Linked DNA regions of Saccharomyces cerevisiae S288C. Changing the gene in region 1 together with any one later gene gives a genetic interaction. Each region holds a gene or a part of one and is shown in the gene's direction. Other genes may lie near its edges.

What was found. A genetic interaction does not mean that the proteins touch.
Region 2: mutations in HXT5 (region 1) and MGL2 together harm fitness more than expected from each alone (negative genetic interaction), as found in Saccharomyces cerevisiae (2 studies listed by BioGRID).

The regions. Positions count from the first base shown.
Region 1 is NC_001140.6:294,127-298,357, reverse strand, and holds HXT5 (hexose transporter HXT5), read left to right. Parts: upstream 1-1,910; coding exon 1,911-3,689; downstream 3,690-4,231. Other genes in the region: PAL2 (Pal2p), read left to right, coding at 1-973.
Region 2 is NC_001145.3:685,772-689,410, forward strand, and holds MGL2 (putative carboxylic ester hydrolase), read left to right. Parts: upstream 1-1,744; coding exon 1,745-3,094; downstream 3,095-3,639. Other genes in the region: ERG12 (mevalonate kinase), read left to right, coding at 1-27; YMR209C (uncharacterized protein), read right to left, coding at 140-1,513; DML1 (Dml1p), read left to right, coding at 3,312-3,639. UniProt on the Saccharomyces cerevisiae protein: Converts monoacylglycerides (MAG) to free fatty acids and glycerol. Has a preference for palmitoyl-MAG. Does not play a significant role in ethyl ester biosynthesis. Also possesses ester hydrolase and low but persistent TAG lipase activity.

The DNA.
Region 1 (4,231 bases):
CCCATTTTTAAATGAAGATGACACTAGGAGGGCCCATAACAGTAGCGTTTCCAATTCTAGACAAGAAAGACTCCCATCATATGAAGAAGCTGCGGGGACACCGAAACAGCAAGCTCCATACCCAAAAGAAAAGAAACGCAGTAGTGGTTCAAATAGTCACCAACACAACCACCACCACCATCGTCGTACATCACACGGACATAGGGACAAAGATAAGCAGAAGAGCAAAAGCAGAACCAAGGTTAAGCCCCCTAAAAATGTAGACACTATTGACAAGATGGATGTTACAGGATTATTTGGCGGATCTTTCCATCATGACGGCCCCTTTGATGCATGCACTCCACAGAGAAATAAGAATAATAAAGTGGCGCCTGTACTGGCCTTCCCAGCAGATGGTCCAAATAATACAGTAGGCGGCCGCACAAGTAAGAAGTCTACCTTAGATGAGGTGTTTGGTAGGGAAACAGTAGACGACGATTCTGAGACGCTGAACCAACTACAAGATAGAGCATATTTATTCAATAAGGCCAATTCCAGTACTACGACTTTGGATGCGATTAAACCGAATTCAAAAAATATTACCCAGTTCGATTCCAAAATGAAAACTGAACTAGTCCATGGGCCCATTACGATGGGTCTAGGCTCAACGACGTTCCTGGATGGCGCACCAGCGTCTTCCGCTGCCATAGAGCAAGATGTTATCAACCACGCACAAGAATCTCGTAGGAAAAACAGCATAGCAAGAAAAAAGTCTCTCCCCTCAAGAAGACATCTACAAGTGAACAACAACAATTTAAAGCTAGTGAAAACACATAGTGGACACTTGGAGCAAAAGGACGTAGACGATAATAGAACTTCTGTTCCGGTCACTGCCACCCAAGGAAGCGGTCACGAAGATGTTGTTAAAAAGGAAAACACCGGCAACAAGCTATTAAGGAGGGTGAAAAGCTTGAAAACTAGTAAAAAGCACTGATCAATGCTTCTTTCTTGCGTTCTTTTTGTTGCGCCCATATATTATTTTATTTATTACATTCATATAGCAATATTTACCTTATTTTATTGGTTACTTTTCTATACGCAAAATCACTACACTATGTTATGTTAAGGTCTCCGATACGGGAATATACCAATCAATACTTATCACTTCGGATTTTTTATGGGTCTTATCCCCACTGTTCCATTTTCTTGTTTAAGGCATCCCGGAGGATAAACTAAAAAGGTGGCCCATCCCACCCGAAATGAAAGTAATCATCTGCTAGCAAAAAGTAAAGAAATGAGAGCATGCTGTGATGTACTGGTGGACGAAATTGTGACCCATACCCACCGAAGAAACATCCGCATGACGTGTTACTGTTACTTCCCGGATTAAGGGATGCATTCTAACTCTGTGCGCCCTTTTCTCTGCAGTTGATCCGCATTCCCCGTGGCTGTGCACATTAGGGGACAGTAAGTAATTCACTTTCTGATCCCGCACTCATAGCGATGGAATAATATACCGGATTTCACACCTTGTTATTGAGTGAAGTACTGCTTGGTGAAATGATATCTTTATGTTCAATATTAATGGTCGTGTGGATGAATATATGGGCATGGGTTAATTAGTTTTAGGGGCACGGAGTAAACAAGAAAGGAGGGCCAGAATCATTAGTAGAGTACCTCAAGTTTGGTTTCTTTTTGATTTCACGTATAAAAGAGTCTCTCTCTTTTCTTTTCATGCTAGTCGAACGGTTCTCCCTCTAAGAATAAGAAACTATCAAAAGAAAGAGAAAAGTCGATTGAATAATTTTTCTATATATAATATACGCAAACAAGATTCGCTTTCACTTTGCAATTTTACTTCATAGCTTTGTTAAAACCAGCAAAAAATATTATTTTTCTAGAAAAAAGAATATATTAGAGGTAAAGAAAGAATGTCGGAACTTGAAAACGCTCATCAAGGCCCCTTGGAAGGGTCTGCTACTGTGAGCACAAATTCTAACTCATACAACGAGAAGTCAGGAAACTCGACTGCTCCTGGTACCGCCGGTTACAACGATAATTTGGCACAAGCTAAACCCGTCTCAAGTTACATTTCCCATGAAGGCCCTCCCAAAGACGAACTGGAAGAGCTTCAGAAGGAGGTTGACAAACAACTAGAGAAGAAATCGAAGTCGGATTTACTATTTGTATCCGTCTGCTGTTTGATGGTTGCTTTTGGTGGGTTCGTGTTTGGGTGGGATACTGGTACTATATCTGGTTTTGTCAGGCAAACAGACTTCATTAGGCGATTTGGCAGCACCCGTGCAAACGGGACTACCTATCTTTCCGATGTCAGAACCGGTTTGATGGTTTCTATTTTCAACATCGGCTGCGCTATCGGAGGTATAGTTTTGTCAAAGCTCGGTGATATGTATGGACGTAAGATTGGTCTGATGACTGTTGTCGTCATTTACTCAATTGGGATCATCATCCAAATCGCCTCCATTGACAAATGGTATCAATATTTCATTGGAAGAATCATCTCAGGACTGGGCGTTGGTGGTATTACAGTTTTGGCGCCTATGCTAATTTCTGAAGTGTCGCCTAAGCAGTTGCGTGGTACTCTGGTTTCATGTTACCAATTAATGATCACTTTCGGTATCTTTTTGGGATATTGTACTAATTTTGGTACCAAGAATTACTCAAACTCTGTCCAATGGAGGGTACCATTAGGCTTATGCTTTGCATGGTCTATTTTTATGATTGTTGGTATGACGTTCGTTCCTGAATCCCCACGTTATCTGGTAGAAGTGGGAAAAATTGAAGAGGCCAAGCGGTCCTTAGCAAGAGCTAACAAAACCACTGAAGACTCTCCTTTAGTAACTTTAGAAATGGAGAACTATCAGTCTTCTATTGAAGCTGAGAGATTGGCGGGCTCTGCTTCTTGGGGGGAATTGGTTACTGGTAAGCCCCAGATGTTCAGACGTACACTAATGGGTATGATGATTCAATCTTTACAACAGCTGACAGGTGACAATTACTTCTTTTACTATGGTACTACAATTTTCCAGGCTGTTGGTTTGGAAGATTCATTTGAAACTGCTATTGTTTTGGGTGTTGTTAATTTTGTTTCGACTTTTTTCTCGCTATATACCGTCGATCGTTTTGGTCGTCGTAATTGTTTGTTATGGGGCTGTGTAGGTATGATTTGTTGCTATGTCGTCTATGCCTCTGTTGGTGTTACCAGATTATGGCCAAACGGTCAAGATCAACCATCTTCAAAGGGTGCTGGTAACTGTATGATTGTTTTCGCATGTTTCTACATTTTCTGTTTCGCTACCACTTGGGCCCCCGTTGCCTATGTCCTTATCTCTGAGTCGTATCCCTTAAGAGTACGTGGTAAAGCAATGTCGATTGCAAGTGCCTGTAACTGGATTTGGGGGTTCTTGATCAGTTTTTTCACTCCATTTATTACTTCAGCAATCAATTTCTATTATGGCTATGTCTTTATGGGTTGTATGGTGTTCGCATACTTTTATGTGTTCTTCTTTGTTCCAGAGACAAAGGGCTTAACATTAGAAGAAGTCAACGAAATGTATGAAGAAAATGTGCTACCTTGGAAGTCTACCAAATGGATCCCACCATCTAGGAGAACAACAGATTATGACCTAGACGCTACTAGAAATGATCCGAGACCATTTTATAAAAGGATGTTCACTAAAGAAAAATAATCTCTTGTAGTGTAGGATCAACTATTTTCGCATACTTGCAATGTTCAGCATTGCACCATTTCAAATTTTAATATTAATATTAATCGTTTTCGTTCATATGTTCATTCATAGTTTACAAATAATGCAATCATATGCAGAGATATTTTGTCCGTGGTTAATAGGGCTGCCTGTTATTCCTTTAATTCAACTAAATTACGTATGTCTAATAATATCAAAATCATCATGACGTTTTTGTTTTTTTTCTTTATTTTAAGTAGGATCAAACCAGGGGAGAAAGGGTTGCTACGCCTAACAACAAGAACTTGTATATCGTTTCTTGTTACTTATACTTTTCTGCCCACTTCTCTCTTACAACTGCTCGAGCTCATCCTTGGTAATAAAACAGTGAGGACGGTTACTCGAGGTTTCAACAGGGGAAAATAAATTTATATGATGAATCAAGAGCCCCGTTCTTTTACCGTATTATCCTTCATACTACATACTAGGGAAAGAACTGAAAACTCCGCTACCTGCTGTAACAGCGCATAATAAAAAGCAAGAAT
Region 2 (3,639 bases), on another chromosome or scaffold:
AACACGAATTTACCATGGACTTCATAAGCTAATTTGCGATAGGCATTATTTATTAGTTGTTTTTAATCTTAACTGTGTATGAAGTTTTATGTAATAAAGATAGAAAGAGAAACAAAAAAAAATTTTTCGTAGTATCAATTCAGCTTTCGAAGACAGAATGAAATTTAAGCAGACCATAGTATCCTTGATACATTGACTCATAATCAGTTAAATAGCCATTCAATCCCTTTGAGCTATCAACTTCATATTCCTCCACAAGGTCCTTCCACCCGCGAATTTTACGCAGCCGACTTAATTCATCTCCTGTAAATTGGACCAAGGGTTTGGTGCCATACTTTAATGGACCTACATTGACCCAATGCAGCTCTTTACAGTATTTCTTTAGTGCTTCAATACTGGATAGATATTCAAACATATTTTCCGCGGTATCTATGAAATATGCGCTACAAATGATAATTTTATCATAGTCTTTGGAAATGGGAGAATATCGTGTGAAGTCCCCCCATAGTGGGTCCAGATTACTGCGGTGGCCAACTTTGCTCAAATCTGCCGATAAACTTCTCAACTGATTATCAAACACTGTCTGGCATGAATATTGTTGTACAAAAGGACGTATCTTAACGTCATGCTTATATTCGAGTGCAAATAGGTTACATATGTACATCAAGGCTGATAATTCGATGGAGTCCACCTGTATTTTGGGGAAAGTGGTGGCAAGAGTATGGGATAGGCCACCCACACCAGCCCCTGGGGTCACGATAAGAATTTTCTCTTTCATGTCCCCGGCACTAATCACATGATGGTTGATTCTACTAATGATAAAATTTTGTAAAGGATCTCTTTCCACACTATAGTAAGAGCTGAAATCACGACACAAATGTGCTAATGCTTCATGGACCACACTTTGGCTGCCTCGAGACGAAACTATTGGAAATACGAAGTCAGGATTCAATTGAATAAGGTGACCATCTTTAATCTTATAGCCGTGTTCCGCGCATATCTTTTCAATTTCCTCTGTAAATTCTTCATCGTGTTCGTTGGAATGAATCAATTTCCCTAAAGTGAACTCAATTATCTTGTCAATAACTCTTGCGTTTTCTCGGATACCCTCATTATTTTTCATTAATTTGGTGAAGTAGCCTAATTTTTGCAACTGATCTTCTGAAATTCCATTTAATTGTCTTGCTCTCCGAAATAAAAGGCCATTATAGCCTTCTCCTCTTGCTCGATACTCATGTAAACGGATTAAATTCCCCGTAAGATCAGGAAGAGTGGGAATCTGATAATTAATTTTAGAAAGATTCGATTGATCGGCAGATATTGATTTCTCAACATCAACCAATTTTAAGGAGGGCGATAAAACGCTGACTTTTTGGGCCAGATTTGATTTTCTTGATAATAGCTTTTCAACATATGATACAAACCACCTCTGCAACGGCTTATTTTGCCTTAGCAGTGTCATCAGGACTACCACAAGGGCTAGAATTATATTTGATGCCAGTGAGCTAACCATTGGCGCTCCTCAACTTCGTATATCAATATTTTTACCTCTTCTATTTCCTGAAAAATTTGTTAATTGTACAGCATCGTTTACGTTTTTTTTTTTTTACGGGTCTTCTTACCTAACCCCGAAAAGTATTGTGGATCTTAAAAGGGTCTCAATTATTTGAAGTTCGATAAAAACCAACTACTTTGTTATTTTAAAACTGTATTATACAAACGCTGGTAAACTTCCAGAGACGATATGCGTCTAAAAGAATTGTTACCTAATTTTTTGATTGTTCATCAAGAGGTCCCTGAGGATCCTATTGCATTCAAGTCCACCGATAAACGAGAGAATGAAAATAAAGAGATCACCATCCCTGAGCTAATAGATACTAAAGTTCCTGAATTAGCTGACGGTGCTACTGACACTTTATATGGTTTACTGGTCAATGGCCATTTACAAACTGCATATGGTTCCTTTAGACACTTTGACAATATATACAAAGTTCAATATAAAAGAATGATAATCAAATACCCACATGGGGGAGAAGGGACTGTGGATTTTGCTGTAAATGGTAGAAGTACCAAAAGAAGAAAAGTGGAAAAAGAATACGTGCCGACAAGTCAACCGGTATTTAACGGAAACTTGAAACGAAGATATTCGTACTATTCCCCTGATGATCCTAAATTGAACTCAGACGATGCTAAGCCTATGCTTATTATTCTCCATGGATTAACAGGGGGTTCGAGGGAAAGCTACGTGAGGGCAATTGTTCATGAAATCACCACGAAGTATGACTTTGAAGCATGCGTGTTTAATGCTAGAGGATGTTGTTATTCTGCAATTACAACGCCGCTATTATACAACGGTGGTTGGACCAATGATATAAGATATTGTGTTAATGACTTGAGGAAAAGATTTCCGAATAGAAAGTTTTATATGATGGGATTTTCGTTAGGCGCATCTATAATGACAAATTACTTGGGAGAAGAGTCAGATCGTACTAAAATCGAATGTGCTATTTCCGTGAGTAATCCATTTGACCTGTACAACTCTGCATATTTTATTAACAGTACACCAATGGGGTCACGATTTTATTCACCTGCTTTGGGTCACAACTTACTACGCATGGTTCGAAACCATCTCTCTACTCTGGAAGAAAACCCTGATTTCAAAGATGTTATCGAGAAGCATTTAAAAAAGATTCGCACTGTGAGGCAATTTGATAACTTGTTGACAGGCCCAATGTTTGGATATAAAAATGCAGAGGAGTATTACAAGAATGCTTCATCATATAAAAGAATACCCGGGATCAGAACTCCTTTTATAGCTTTGCATGCTCAGGATGACCCAATTGTCGGAGGTGATCTTCCTATAGACCAAATAAAATCCAATCCATACACTTTGCTTCTAGAAACTTCGACGGGGGGGCATGTTGGATGGTTCAAAGACAGATCCGGCAGAAGGTGGTACGCAGAACCCTTATGCAGATTTTTGAAAATATTTCACGACGAAATTACTGTAAAGGGCTTAAAACCTGACTTGGAAAATGTTCAACTCCCAGATCCTAATTGCGAACCCATAGCCACAACCTTTCGCGCGAATTAGTTTGTAAATAAGTCAACTTTTTAGATGTGTAACCTGATAATTTTTTTTTTTGATGTTCGACATCATTATTTCTGAATGAAAACGTGAAAAGCTTCGCCAAACTTAAAATGGAAAATTTCGAATGGAACAAAATATAATCGATGCGATGAATTAAAACCTTGGAAGAAGAGGGTTAATTGTTAAAATTACATATATAATTGGCAGACAAGAATAAAAAATGCATGAAGTAGTAACGATATCGGTTTCGCAGAGAGCAAACCATTTGACTACTCAATTCTTCAATATACAAGAGGGCTATTTACAATTGTCTAAAGAACAACAAGTCAATGACTCCAAAATTTTTCTGAATTCGGTTGTAGATAAAGTTTCAAAAACAATTTCATATGCACCACGTGCCTTACTTTGGGATGCCCGTACAGGTAATGGTTCACTAGGAACATATCAATATTCAGAAAGCCAAGACTATCATTTCGGCAATGAAGACAAATTCAAGGAGCAAACAGTTATAAAGACTCATCCAAGAATACCTAAATCCGAATATCAGA